Caenorhabditis elegans: one gene and its partner. The protein of the gene in region 1 purifies or fractionates together with the protein of each later gene. This does not show direct contact. Each region holds a gene or a part of one and is shown in the gene's direction. Other genes may lie near its edges. The genes, in order: alg-2 and ain-1.

Region 1 (8,144 bases):
AAAAATTTTTTTTTGAAGTTTAGCATTACACCTCAACTATGGAGGCTTATATCTTGATGGAAAATTGTTTACTGGCAAAATAATAAATATTACTTTCACTATAATTTTTTATTAAATATTCTAAAATTATCTAATGTACATACTAGTTTATAAACTTCCAAAGTTGGACTCTTCCCAAATTTTCCTTTTTTTCCAGCTGCACCGAATTCCCTCACTGCTTCAACATCCCGCTGACCTATGAATCCGAGCTTAATGTCTACGGTAAGAAGAGAACTGAAAACTTGGACCCTTTGGAGTTTATGCCACATGTCAGTTGGTGCCTGGTCTTCGAAGTGATGCCAATTGGAAGCGCTTTACCATTGGAGGACTGATTTTTCAATTTGCTAATTTTTTTTTTCAATTATGTCTTGTTGTCGTGTTTTTGATAATCTGAAATTTGTTGCGTGGATTTTAATAAAATGTTTTTTTGGTACTAAAAATGTTCCTAAATTTTTCTATATTTTGCTAGTTACCGGCTCAACGAAGGTGGTATATTTTAAAATCTGAATATCTGTAAATCTACAAAAGTTAGCAAAAGATTGTCAATTAACAAAATAATCTACGCAAATTGTTCTATAAGTTGTTAATTTACAAATTTTTTGTAGCTCAACTTTGAGCATAGTTATGATAGCTCTAAGTAGGGACAGGTTACCTGATTTTTATCAATTTTAAAACTTAAATATCTCCAAAAGCATCAAAGCTAATAAAAAATGTTGGGTATCTACGTGTACCTTACCCTTAACGTGGATATGAAGATCGTGTAACGTGAACTCATTATCTATGTATACTAACTTTCTATTTATTCCTTAGTTATGTAATAATAAACTACTCGTCTTCGCCTCCTTGTTCGGCCTCGAATATATAACATTGGCGATCAGGATCTTTCGGGCTCACTGCACCACTGACTTCATGCACATGTCTACTTAGAAGAAAAGACCTCTGAGGTATTGTTTTGATCTACACATGTCTACTGGGAAGAAAAGACCTCTGAGGTGGATCAGGTCAGCTTTGGGAAGAGGCACCTGCCGTGCTCTCTGCAGTTGCAGTCAAGGTGGACAGGAGCGGCTTCTGGTTTGAAGTCGAAAAGAAGAAGGAATCATTGCTCAACTCTTTTGAAGATGCGAGTGAAGGCCACCTATGCGTTTCAAATGCTCAGTCATTGGACGATTGCACAAATTGTTATTGGTCATAACATGATCCACAACCAGGAACTGGGATACAACAGGTTGATGGTGGAACAGGCGGAATCAGTGTGGATGATTCAAGGTTGGGTCTAATATTCAGGCAGCAACGTTTTTTTAGTCTGTTGGTGAAGGGTGGATAGACATCAAAAATATTTCGATTGGTACGGGAAGTGTGGCTAACTTGGAACCCGCAATTGGAGGATGTGAACACCGAAGTACCGTGTGCAAAGGATTGGCAATATCGACGGTCACACTGGAGGGTGGTCCGTGAGAACCTCAGAAGACATTCGTGGATGGCTCCTCACCAAAGCTCTCGTTTGTCATTGAAGAGGGGAGATGTTGGGTATCTACGTGTACCTAACCCTTAACGTGGATATGAAGATCGTGTAACGTGAACTCATTATCTATGTATACTAACTTTCTATTTATTCCTTAGTTATGTAATAATAAACTACTCGTCTTCGCCTCCTTGTTCGGCCTCGAATATATAACAAAAAATTAATAACAGGCAAAATGATTTACACAACTTTCTCTATATTTTCTTAGTTGACAACTTTTTAATATCTCAACTTACCGCAGAGTTATGACGGCTCAAACTAACCTTGGCTCGCTGCCAATTTTCCCACGTTCCTCCTCCTCCTCCCCCTACCCGAACAGTCTGCCCCCAAAACTGTGTCTGCGTCTCCTTATCGCGTCCCGTCATCTAACACTCCCAACGGACCGTCTTCCCACCTGTCAATTTCCCTGTTTCTCTGCGTCTATGTTCCCTCTGCCTGTACACAATGGTCCTAGACTTGGAAAATTATCGATTTTCGGTTAGTGGTCCGAGATTACCCGCGCGCGCGCATTTTTGAGAGGCCAGCTGTGTTGGTCAATCGTTTTTCTTGCGATTAGGGGGTTTCTCTTTTCATTTTCTCAGTTTTAAAAATAGTTTTCATTTTTAATTTTGATTTTTCTCATTAAAACTTTAAAAAGCTTAAAGTTTTCTCTAATTTATTAAGTTTAACATTTAGAAAATAAGATTTTCAACCCAAATTTCCATATGAAAATCGAAATTTTATCCCCTATACAATTCAAATTCCCCACGCTCCCCAACCCTTTTCTAATTGAGTTTTGGGGTGCATCGAAAAACACGCCAGTGCACCGAAAGTGCGCCAGCTAGCCCGTTGACGGCATTCCTTCCCCCGAGGGAACACCCGCTTTCGCAATGACTTTTGAAGCCGATTTTGGAGGTCTAAACTAGTTTTTTTGAGATTTTAACTAGAAATTCGAAAAATTCAGTTTAAATTCTATATAGATCTTAGGTTTTTTGAGGAATCTAGGTAAATTTTGGATTTACCAATTGGTATAGTAAAGTTAGTGTGGTTTTTTAGATTTTTGAAGTTCTCAGCAAATTTTCCTTTAATTTTGCCAAAATTTTCTATATTTTCCACAGCGAACTTTCAATTTTAAAATACTCTGAACAAATTTACTAAATAAAATCGAAAATTTTTTGGCATTTTATCGATTTTTCTCAAGTTGCCAACTATGTAATAACCTCTATGATTTCAGAGAGATTTTTGATTTTTCCCACTTAAGTATGTCTGCACTTTAAACCAAAAATTATGGGGTTTCATGCTTAAAGTTCACATTTTTTCTGTGTCTGGGTGTGCTGCTCCGTTTTGTTCTTTTTCGTGCAGCTTCTCATTATCAAATAAAATGTTTTCAGAAATGCCCGGCGATTCGCTGACATCGTCGTCTTTCATGCCAGATGGTGGCGCAGAAACGTCGAGCTCTTCACAGTTGGGCGGCTCGGCTCACGGAGCAATTGGGTAAGGTTTTGAATTTTGTGCAAAAGTTTTGACTTAAATCTGAGTTTGGCTCGATGTGGAGCAGGAAGTCTAAGCTTCTGGGCTTGTTAGAGCTGGATTTTGGGCCCAAAAACTATATTTGGAGCCCAGAACTGGGAAACTTAAACCAGAGCCTCTAATAACTTGAATCTAGTGAAAAATCTGACACTTACAAAAAAAACTGAAGTTACTTCAGACTTGGACTTTAAATTTAGAATGTGAGCTCACATTGGCTGAGCTTCAAGTTTTTAGAATTTTGGGCTTTAGCTATAATTCTATTAAAATTTTTAGAGAATGTCCGGAAATTTCAGTCCAAGCTTAAGCTTAAGCCTAGACCTAAGCCTAAACTCACACCTAAGCCTAAGCCTAAACCTACGCCATCAAATTTAAGCCTAAGGTAAATACCACCCGACTAAACCAAAGCCAACTCTTGAGCCTAAATCAAATTCCGACCTTCAGCGTCTGTTGAAGCTTTCAATTTAGACTTAGCCTAGGCAAGCCCAGAAACTTTAGCTCCAGGCCTGATTTTTATTTAGTCTTCCTGTAAGATTCCTGAATCTCTAATTTTCCAATTTTCAGCACAAAACCCGACGCAGGCGTCCAATTCCAGTGCCCAGTCCGTCCGAACCATGGAGTCGAGGGCCGATCCATCCTCCTGCGAGCCAATCATTTTGCAGTACGGATCCCCGGAGGTTCAGTCCAACATTATCAAATTGACGTCTTTCCGGACAAGTGCCCAAGACGGGTTAATCGGTAAGTACTTTTTCTATTGATTCGGGGTTCCCTTCAAAACTTCAGCTCTGAAATTTTAATCATTTTCAGCGAGGTAATCGGCTGCCTGATCTCCTCCTTCTCAAAATATTTCACCAATATTCGACCAGTCTACGATGGAAAGCGTAACATGTACACGCGGGAGCCCCTACCAATTGGCACGGAGCCCATGAACTTTGAGGTGACGCTGCCTGGAGATTCAGCAGTGGAACGGAAGTTCTCAGTGACGATGAAGTGGATCGGTCAGGTCTGTCTGTCAGCTCTGGACGATGCCATGGAAGGTAGAGTGCGGCAGGTTCCACATGAAGCCGTTCAGTCGATCGATGTGATTCTTCGCCACTTGCCAAGTTTGAAGTACACCCCGGTTGGAAGGTCGTTTTTCACACCTCCAGGTAAGATCTCAAGTTGCTTGGTTAAGGATCTAGGACCTAGGATTTAGGATCTAGAGTATAGGATCTACGATCTAGGGTCTAGGATCTAGGATCTAGGATCTAGGATCTAGGATCTAGGATCTAGGGTCTAGGGTCTAGGATCTGGGATCTAGGATCTAGGGTGTAGGATCTAGGATCTAGGATCCAGAATCTAGAATCTAGGATCTAGGCTCTGGGATCTAGGCTCTAGGATCTAGGCTCTAGGCTCCTACGCTCCCAGACAAACTTCAATACTCCAACTATATCTTTTAGGCGTCATGAAGCCCGGCATGCAAATGCACCAGGAGAGCAAACTCGGTGGAGGCCGCGAAGTATGGTTTGGATTCCATCAATCCGTCCGACCATCCCAATGGAAGATGATGCTCAACATTGACGTCTCCGCCACGGCCTTTTACCGCGCGATGCCAGTCATCGAATTCGTCGCCGAGGTGCTCGAGCTCCCAGTCCAAGCTCTCGCCGAGCGTCGGGCCCTCTCCGATGCTCAACGCGTCAAATTCACCAAAGAGATCCGTGGACTCAAGATTGAGATCACCCATTGTGGAGCCGTGCGCCGGAAGTACAGAGTTTGCAACGTCACACGCCGCCCGGCCCAGACCCAGACCTTCCCATTGCAACTGGAGACTGGCCAAACTATTGAGTGTACTGTAGCCAAGTACTTCTTTGACAAGTACCGTATCCAGCTGAAGTACCCCCACCTTCCATGCCTCCAAGTCGGTCAGGAGCAGAAGCATACGTACCTGCCACCAGAGGTCTGCGATATTGTTCCAGGACAGCGTTGTCTGAAGAAGCTCACCGATGTGCAGACGTCCACCATGATCAAGGCCACGGCTCGTTCCGCTCCAGAGCGTGAGCGTGAGATTTGTAAGCTAGTAAGCAAGGCTGAGCTCTCCGCGGATCCATTTGCTCATGAATTCGGAATCACTATCAATCCAGCAATGACTGAAGTCAAGGGACGTGTGCTCTCGGCTCCGAAGCTTCTCTATGGAGGTCGTCATCGTGCCACAACTGCCCTTCCGAACCAGGGAGTCTGGGATATGCGCGGGAAGCAGTTCCACACTGGAATGGAAGTCCGTACCTGGGCGATTGCATGCTTTGCTCAGCAATCTCATGTCAAGGAAAATGATCTCAGGATGTTCACGACTCAATTGCAAAGGATCTCTACCGACGCTGGAATGCCAATCATCGGTACCCCTATGTTCTGCAAATATGCTTCTGGAGTGGAGCAGGTGGAGCCGATGTTCAAGTACTTGAAGCAGACCTATTCGGCGATTCAGTTGATTGTGGTGGTGCTGCCAGGAAAGACTCCGATCTATGGTAAGTTGATTAATTGTAGGTGAAAGTTCTAGGGTGTTGGTGTAAGCTTTACGCTCCTAGGTTCCAAGGATCTAGATCTTAGATCATGGAGTCCTGGGATCCTAAGCTGCTAGGCTCTTGGAATCCTAGGTTCCAAGGATCTATGGCCTAGATCATTGGGCTCTGAATCTTGGGACCAAGATCATCTATATCCTTACCTCTTCAACCCCATCTGAAGCTCTATATTTTCAGCCGAAGTGAAACGCGTCGGAGACACCGTCCTCGGAATCGCCACCCAGTGCGTCCAGGCCAAGAACGCCATCCGAACCACCCCGCAGACACTCTCCAACCTCTGTCTCAAGATGAATGTGAAGCTTGGTGGAGTCAACAGCATCCTCCTGCCAAACGTGCGTCCACGGATCTTCAACGAGCCCGTCATCTTCCTGGGTTGCGACATCACCCATCCAGCAGCCGGTGATACCCGTAAGCCATCCATCGCCGCAGTGGTAGGATCTATGGATGCTCACCCGAGTAGATATGCGGCAACAGTTCGGGTCCAGCAGCACCGTCAGGAGATCATTACGGATCTGACATATATGGTTCGAGAGTTGCTTGTCCAGTTCTACCGTAACACGAGGTTCAAGCCAGCCCGAATTGTGGTCTACAGAGATGGAGTGTCTGAGGGTCAACTCTTCAATGTGCTCCAATATGAGCTCCGCGCAATTCGTGAAGCTTGTGTGATGCTTGAGAGTGGATACCAGCCAGGAATCACATTTATCGCTGTGCAAAAGAGACATCACACAAGGCTCTTCGCCGCGGATAAAGCTGATCAAGTAGGAAAAGCATTCAACATCCCACCAGGAACAACTGTAGATGTGGGAATCACGCATCCAACGGAATTCGACTTCTTCCTCTGCTCCCACGCTGGTATCCAAGGAACATCCCGACCATCTCACTACCATGTGCTCTGGGATGACAATGATCTGACGGCCGACGAGCTTCAACAGTTGACCTACCAAATGTGTCATACCTATGTAAGATGCACGAGGTCTGTGTCGATCCCGGCGCCGGCGTACTATGCACATCTGGTGGCGTTCCGTGCTCGTTATCACTTGGTCGATAGGGATCATGGATCCGGAGAGGAAGGATCACAACCTTCGGGGACGTCGTCGGAGGATACAACATTGTCAAGCATGGCCAAGGCCGTACAGGTGAGCATTGTTTGGATTTTGAGATAGAGTGTAGGCAGAAGCATAGAGCTAGGATCTGGGCCTAGATTATTTATCTAGACTGAGATCAGGATCTGGGCTGAGGCTTGAGGCATAGGAGCCTAGGAGTCTAGAAGCGCAGTCCTTGAAGCATAGACCAAGACCCAGACCTAGACCTAGACCTATACCGAGAACTAGACCTAGACCTAGACCTAGACCTGGACCTAGACCTAGACCTAGACCTAGACCTAGACCTAGACCTAGACCTAGACCTAGACCTAAACCTAGACCTAGACCTAGACCTAGACCTAAACCTAGAACTAGACCTAAACCTTGATCTAGACCTTGATCTAGACCTAGACCTAGACCTAGACCTACACCTACACCTACACCTACACCTACACCTACACCTATACCCACGCTTTCCTAACCTACTAATTTCAACTTTTTCCAGGTTCATCCCGACTCGAACAACGTCATGTATTTTGCCTAAGTCTCCAACTACGGATTCTCTGCCATTTCACAGCCACTTGTTATCTATGCATCTCGATTTTCATTTTTCCCGTTTCCTCTGCCCCCTGAGATTTTCATGTTTTTCCTTCCCCTAATTATCAATATCAATCAATACTTTAATATCTTTCAAGCCCAGGTTTATAATATTTCCAATTATGTTAGGTGTTTAATTTTCACCAAGTTTTTTTTCCATTTTTTTCCAAATTTCTTGAGCCATTTTCCATACTAGCCACACAATGCTTTTTCGATCCTCCAAATACTTTCCATTTGTGTCTTTATCCCCCTCTGCTCTAATTAAATACGACCTTATCACTCAATTGGTACACTTTGTTGTAAACTGTCTTTCTCTTAGTATCTGAAAAAAAACCTCATGATTGTCCTGTTTTTCAACCCACCCCCACCCACAATGCCTTTTTGTGTTTCCCAATGGCAAGTCCAACAGAATAAAGTGATATTTTGGAACCCACAGGATGTCCGCTGCTATTAGGGGGCCCGTAAGATGGGCGCTGTTTCTGTACGCCAGTGAGATGTCCGCTGCTTCTAGAACACCATTAGATGTCGGCTGCTCTATTGGGCTCGGGGCATGTCCGCTGCTTTAGCAAACGCTGCTCTATTAAGCCCGTATGATGTCCGCTGCTATTAGGGAACCTGTGGGATGTCCACTGCTTCTAAAAGCCTGATTGTCTCCTACTTTGCACCAGTGATCCCGTAAGATGCCCGCTGCTTCTGAGAACCCATAAGATGTCTGCTGCTGTTCAATATGCCCGTAAAACAGGATCTCAACGTCTTTATTTTGTTATACCACGTTACTATTTTCCAAGTTAGATGTACTGCTTTCTTCTCTCGACCTCTGCTGTCTCACATTCCTGCCTCTCC
Region 2 (6,992 bases), on another chromosome or scaffold:
TGTCATAATAATTAACTAGAAGCTTCAATAATGAACTATGAATAGCATATAAGTTTGAAATCTATTGATAAAAGATTATCAACAAAAAAGAAAAGAGTTAAACCATGTAAAACTTTTAGTCAAGTGTTAGAAATGTGTTGATTGAGTAGCCCCTCTCGAGACGCGAGTAAGAAATCGATTGATCAACGATAGGTGGGAGGCAGTGCGCTGGGCCCTACGCTCACCATCGGCATCTCTGTGCAACGCGTACTATCTCGACGACCCATCTGTCCAATTGCTACACGCATTCGCGATCTTGTTCCGCGCTGGACCACACTACCAACACTTCCCGCTTGACCCTTTCTCTCTCCCGGAGCCTAATAACACCTGCTTTTTCTACTGGTCGTTTTTTCTTTTATTAATTGCCTCTTTTCTCTCAGCGTGTTTGTTTTTTGTCTTCTATTTTCAATTTTGAAAAAGAAAAACATTTTTCTCGTTATTCAAAAGTTTCTCTTCATGTTTTCTTCTCCGTGTGAAAAACAGTATAGATTTCTCATTCCCAATTCTCTTCCACCTCACCGGGTCACGTGAACTTGATGCGAAGGAAAACAAACCCTCAACTGTCTAGCACTCACAGTTTCTGGTTCCCGAGCGGTGGCGGCACACAAGGTCGAAAAAATTCAGTCACCAAAAATTGATAGCCTCGGCTGTTTTGGCGTGTCAAATTAATGAACACTGTCTTAAGAATTTCAACATAATGTTTCATCTTTTTCCTTTTTAGATTTATCATCTCCTGTTTGAATTTAAATATTTCACAAAGTACAAAAAGTTACGATATAGCCAACTTTTCATAACAGAGAAAAACCACTGTAATGTCAAATTTTCAGAAAATTGGTGAATTTCTGTTAAATATCCTTAGTATCCTCAATTAACAAGTTCCTAATCAATTTCTCTCCGAATCTATTTCCAACCAAAAAGTGTTTCAAGTTTGGCATGTCGCCCGTCCCGCTGTTCATCCCGTCCATCTTCGCTCGTGTGTCCCGTCCATCCCACATATCGAAAATATATTGGTAGTGTGTGTATGTGTGTGTGTGTGTAGAACTGGCCACACAGACGTATATACTGTTAGATACGGGGAGAACCACCAGAGATGAAGAGAAATGGTGGTGAGTGGTCGAGCGCACGTCGATGAGTGTCTATGAGTGCGGTGGTGAGCGCATGAGCGCGTGAGTGTGCGGCGGTGCGGTTTCTCCGTCTCTACACGACATGAAACCCTCTCAGTTGACCCTACGTTCCTTCTTCTCTCTGCACACACACACACATACACACAGCGGTCTCATTGATTCGTGAAAGAAAAAGAGAGAGCGAGAGTGCGGGAGGGTGGTCTGATGAGTGAAGCGTGAGCGGACAGACTCACGGGGGTTAGTAGTAGTGAAGCGAGGAAAAAGTGGAAAGACGGGGAGTTTCCGCTGCGTCTCTCGCCCGGCAAGCAATTTGATGTTGGCCTCTCACTATGAGATGGAGAGAGACAGACAGGGAGAGAAACGCGCAATGTCGTCGCCGGTCGCCTTCTCGCCCTCGATCGGGGTAGCCAGCAGCAGCAGCAGCAGCAGCAGCAGCAGCCCAGCCAACCAGCCTGCGAAGCACCAGACCCCTCTTCTAACTAGTCTCTCTCCTTCTTCTGCTTTTTCCTTCTCCTTTCTCTCTTTCCTGCTTTTTCCTTAACCCCTTGTCCGCCTAGTTCCCACCTAGCCAGCAGCGCCCCGGGGGCTTTTGGGGCCTTTCTTTACAACAGTAGTTATGTAGGTTGTACAAAACTTATTAAATTTTTTAATGTTTACCTTTTTACAGGAGAACGCTTTTTACACTGAACTTGTTTCTATCTAGCAGTATTGCATTAATTAATAGTTTATGCTTTCTAACTTTGACAATGATCTTGTAAAACATAATTTTGCTCAATACTGTTTGAATGGCTTTAGATCATTTTTTATAAAATTTCTATTAAGCTGATACTCCTGGTCCGTAAAATTTTCAATTGCCTTCATGAAATCCTGCTCGTTACGCGGCTAATGTTGTTCGACCAATGTACCCATGTCGAAATCAAATAGTGTTATCAATCAGTCTATCAGTTTCTTTGTTTTCTCTTGTCATCTATCATTTACCATCACGCTCTCGCCAAAACTCATCAATCAATAATATTCCATTTTTTACAGATAAGCTCAAACTCTGATCGCCAGAGCGCGATCAACGCAACCATGGAGAGTCTCGCAAAAAACTTCAACAACATTTCAATAGACGACGCAGCGTGGCATCCTAACGACCAACAGCCTGTATGGGGAAACAACGGTCTCCAGCAGCAACGTGTCTGGGCTCCGCCGGTACCGCAGCCACAGTTCCCAAACAGATCGCCATGGCAACAGGAATCGAACGATATCGGTAATTGGCAATTGTAATCTTGATGACGTAAAAATTGTTTCAGAGCCAAATGTCAACGAAGCCCTTGTTGGACTCAGTGGCACAGGCTCATCAAGTCAAAGCCAATGGGGTGGCATTCAGAATACAGATTATGAGAAACAGATATGGGGTGATCCACCATTGAGCGATGTGCAGTATCCACTTCAACCACATGCCTGTAAGTTCAAATTTGATTAGACGTTATATTTATAAATTTAAATCTATAAATTTTCAGCGTTCGGTGAATTGAATAGTCTTGGAGGTCAATCTGCGCCTTGGTCCATAGGGTCTCAGCCAGCGCACCCGGTTTGGAGTAACGGAGGAATGGGAAAAGAATCTGATGACTTTTGGAAACAGCAACAGCCTCAACAGCATCAGCAATACCCGATGCCATTGCTGCAGGGAGCCTGGAATACAGGCATGAGACATGGACCACCAGGACAAGGACAACGTAGTGGGCCAATGATGCAGCAGCAGCAAGACTACCAAGGGGGATGGGGTGGCCCGAATAACATGGGTGGCAACAAGCAGATGAACCGTCCATGGGGGCAGGACAGCAATCGTGGAATGTCAGGCATGCCGCCCCGAAACGGTCGTCCAAACCACAACCAGGGACGGTACTCTGGCAATATGGGTGGCGGTGTTGACGTTTCAGTTCCACCACCGATGGATATGCACATGGGAGGTGGTATGGGTGGAATGAGAAATATGGGTGTTGCTCCGAATAGTGGACACGGATCATGGAAGAATAACAATGCTGGTGGAGGTCAAGGAGGCCACGGCGGTCAAAGAAACTACAACAACCGTGGTGGAATGGGACACAGTGGAAGCCAGAGTGGCGGAGGATCCAATATGTGGAACAGCACCGGAAACAATGGAAGTGGTGGAAGCATGCAGCAGTTCATGGGAGGAGACCAGCAGTACAACAATCCATTCCCAATCGGCGGAGCTGCTGATGATCTCACACTGACTGTTTGGCATGATCCAAACGGAGAACTCAAGAAATGGCAGAGAGATACTGGAGTGTCCTATTGGGGAGACCCGGAGAAGCAAAGTGAGTTTTTTAAAAAAATATTTCCTTGGTGGGAATTGAATGAAATTCTCCATTGTTTCATGAAAAACTGAAATTAGTCTAAATGTGTTGCTATAGAAATCACCTATTATCGACTATTTTTGCAGCTGACCGTACCATTAGCTTGTGGATTGTTGGCGAAGGTGCCGATGAGGATTTGGAAACTGCATTGAACCGATGTCCAGTACCACAGAAAAAGGTAATATTGTTGTCTTAGGTATTAAATTGAACTTCATGTCTCAGGGAGAGGACAATCAACGTTTCCCATTCCCAGTACCAGCGAAACGGCCAATTGTTGTGACCGGATGGGGAGAGCTTCCAGAAAATGATCCAAACAATCCGTCCAAGAGCGAGTCGACGATATTCGACGAGAACAACAGATGGAACGACTTGACAACTGAGCAAAATCCATGGTATCTTCCGAATCAGCACACTTCAACATTCTCCAGTGACAACACCACTGGATCGTGGGTGCAGGGAGGAACAATTCCACTCAATGAGCCCGGAACCAATCAACACGTGGCTGTGGCGGAGATGCTGAAGAACGCTGTCGACAAGGGATACCTGGACCAGAGCGTGACGATGATGGCCAACTTACCGCCAATGGTGCTGCAGTATGTCAATATGCTGCTCGTCAAAATTCCAGCGTTGGATAGTGTGGAGAATGAGCTGAAGCAGATAATTGAGAGTTCTCTGCCAGAAGATGTGAAAGAGGTTGATCCACAGAATCAACAAAAGTACATGAATGATAGTCAAAAGGTGAGGAAGATTGTCGAGTTTTCAGGTTGTTCAGGATAAAATTATGAAAAATTAAAATAGTAGAAGCCAAAATAATTATCATACTACAACCTATTATTATAGGAAACAAATGAAAGCTAGACATTTTGCTAGAAATTTAAAATATCAACCTTACCAGAAAACTAGCTTAGATCCTGCTTAAACCTAGATTTTAAATTGGGCGGCGGGATAGCTCAGTCGGTAGTGGTGGCCGCTAGCAAGCTGGAAGTCATGAGTTCAAGCCCCCTAGGTTTACCCAGCCTCTATTGAGAAGTGGAGCAATCAACGACTGGATTATCGGTCACGGTCCCCGGCTTGAACGTGGCTCAAATAATAGCCCGGTGGGAGCCCCACCAGACAGTGCACTACGGAACTGAATTCCAGATCCGCAGTGCATAACACCTGAAGTACGGATCGTCCTTTAATCCTTTAATATCAAACTTTTGAAAAATATTAGACGCATCGCTAAGGAGCTCAGATTACTTCAGTTCGATTGCTTGCAAAGATGAATAATATGAATACCAAACAAATCAATTTTCCAGCTTGAACACAATCGTCTCATCATCGAAGTGACGACAGCAAAGATTGAAGTTCAAGAATACTCGAAAAAAGTGAACCGTGCGCTGATGGACGCTGGAATTGTGCAACCGCAGGAGCAACGTGCGCCAGCCTCAACGGAGGACTATCACTACTCGTTCTTAGAATAGATTGTATCGCCCACCGATCTTCTCTCCCACACACGAACAATTATCATCATTACTTTTATTTTGTGTTTCGCACTGTAATCTGAATTTTAAGTTTGGAAATTTGAAATTCAAAGTTTCAGCCTTGTCATCATCATTTCCCATTAACTTGTCTCAGTGACCTTTGACATTTTCTTCAATACTTTTTTACTCTCCCCCTTTCTCTTTAATTTCGTGTGTGTGTGTGTCTGTTTCCTTACTTTATTGCCTCCGGATTTCTATTGTAAACGTGGTCTTGTGAATGTTCTCTCTATCTTGTCGTCTCCTTCCTTCTTTACTGCTGATCAGACGGGGAAAATTACACGTTTTTTGTATTTCACCTCTCGTTTTGCCATCTCCAGATAATCAATTTTTCTTGTTTAAGGGGAGGCTCTCGCCTTTCCCCCTCCCACTAAGAATAATTTGGTGGCTGGTGCTTGGTCTCACAGGGATTCCAGGTTTATGTCTGCCAGTTCATACCTTCTCTTCTCTCTCTCTCATAATAGGGGTCTTTGTTCCAACAATTTCCAACCACGCGTAAATCCATCTTACTTTCCCTTTTCCATAACATCCAAACCTCAAAATATAATAAAGTCCATATTAATCAAAATACTGTATTTCTTTTTTTAAATTGTATCCTTTCGAAAATATAATTCAGTTTTTGGGGCTATTTCCACTAAAACTGCACTTTCTGCAGAGCCTCTGCGAGCATTTTCACCCCACTACTCTTAATCCCCCACGTTCACTTTTCAATCAAGCTATTCCCATTTTTAATTTGAATCAAAATTTCTGTGTATGCTTTGCTTCCAAACGTCATTTGTAATCTGGGTCTTTTCTACGTCATTCTTTACAGTTTCAATGTGCTAATGTCTCCCGTCTCTTGTCTCTTTTTGCTCTCACCCTCACTCACTAAGTTCCAACCAAAAATTGTGATGAAATTATCCCTGAAAACTTGTCAAAATTGGTTCAATCAGCTACATGCGCACACTTTGAAAATCATACAAAAATAAATACAAGAAACGCCTTTCTAAACGATACATAAACTCGTCGTCCCGGCAGCATTTCCCTAGAAACCAGGTCAATTCCTAGTACGGCCCTTTTCCGAATTCTCGCTCTCAATTTCAAACAAAATGGTGTTCTCATTTCATTGTCTTCTTCTCCAAACTTACCGGACTTCAAATAAACTCATTATGTGCAGTACAGTTTCACAATTCGGGACCCTCTCTCTTCCAGAAATTTGTCAATTCCCCTCTCTCATTTCTCACTCCGGCTCTCAAAAATCTTGATTAAATCTCGCATGAACATGTAATAATCAAAACTGTTTTCTTATCTCTTACCATACTTTACTTGTAACACCCATGCCGTCCAACATCACCTTTGGTTCTATTCTCGTATAATAAAACGTTGTGAATTAAACTCTGGAATGTTCAATTTTAGGGAGCAGAAATGAAATAGCACTGTTTCTGTATTTATTTTAATATTTATTTCAAGTTTTAGGTTTGAGTGTATGATAGAAACACAATTAATATTTTGTATTCAAAATAGCCAATTTGTTCAGCAACCGCTTTTTGGTATCACCTGTGCAGCCAGAAACCATTTCTCGTAAAATAAAAGCTTGTCAAAAAGATTCTCCCCGGCCGGGAATTGAACCAGGGTCTCGCATGTGACAGACGCGGATACTCACCACTATACTACCGAGGACACATTTTTCAAAGAATTCGGAGGCTTTCAAAATCATTAATGTAAGTTGAAACCAGATTTACTCTGCAATTCTTACTTAAATTGTAGCATTTTGGCCGACTAATAGTATGTAAAATAAATATGAAAAAACAAACATAAAATAATTTGACAGTTGACCTTGTCGCATTAAAACCAAAAGTATACAAAATATAAGCTGCCAATGATGCATGAGCAAATGTATAGCCTGAAAAAATAAGTACTCAAGTTTGCCACTTACAGAATTTCCTATTTGATATCTACATCAAAGA

What was found.
Region 2: the proteins of alg-2 (region 1) and ain-1 purify together in Caenorhabditis elegans (affinity purification with western blotting; one study listed by BioGRID). This does not show direct contact.

The regions. Positions count from the first base shown.
Region 1 is NC_003280.10:871,229-879,372, forward strand, and holds the start of alg-2 (Protein argonaute-1), read left to right. Parts: upstream 1-1,983; coding exon 1,984-2,038; intron 2,039-2,423; exon of another isoform or gene 2,424-2,552; intron 2,553-2,931; coding exon 2,932-3,034; intron 3,035-3,631; coding exon 3,632-3,805; intron 3,806-3,874; coding exon 3,875-4,215; intron 4,216-4,258; exon of another isoform or gene 4,259-4,459; intron 4,460-4,506; coding exon 4,507-5,568; intron 5,569-5,799; coding exon 5,800-6,758; intron 6,759-7,209; coding exon 7,210-7,248; 3' UTR 7,249-8,144. Other genes in the region: fbxc-51 (F-box C protein), read left to right, coding at 197-371.
Region 2 is NC_003284.9:16,611,259-16,618,250, forward strand, and holds ain-1 (ALG-1 INteracting protein), read left to right. Parts: upstream 1-2,192; 5' UTR 2,193-2,234; coding exon 2,235-2,415; intron 2,416-2,458; coding exon 2,459-2,611; intron 2,612-2,668; coding exon 2,669-3,487; intron 3,488-3,612; coding exon 3,613-3,704; intron 3,705-3,748; coding exon 3,749-4,264; intron 4,265-4,613; exon of another isoform or gene 4,614-4,762; intron 4,763-4,824; coding exon 4,825-4,989; 3' UTR 4,990-6,417; downstream 6,418-6,992.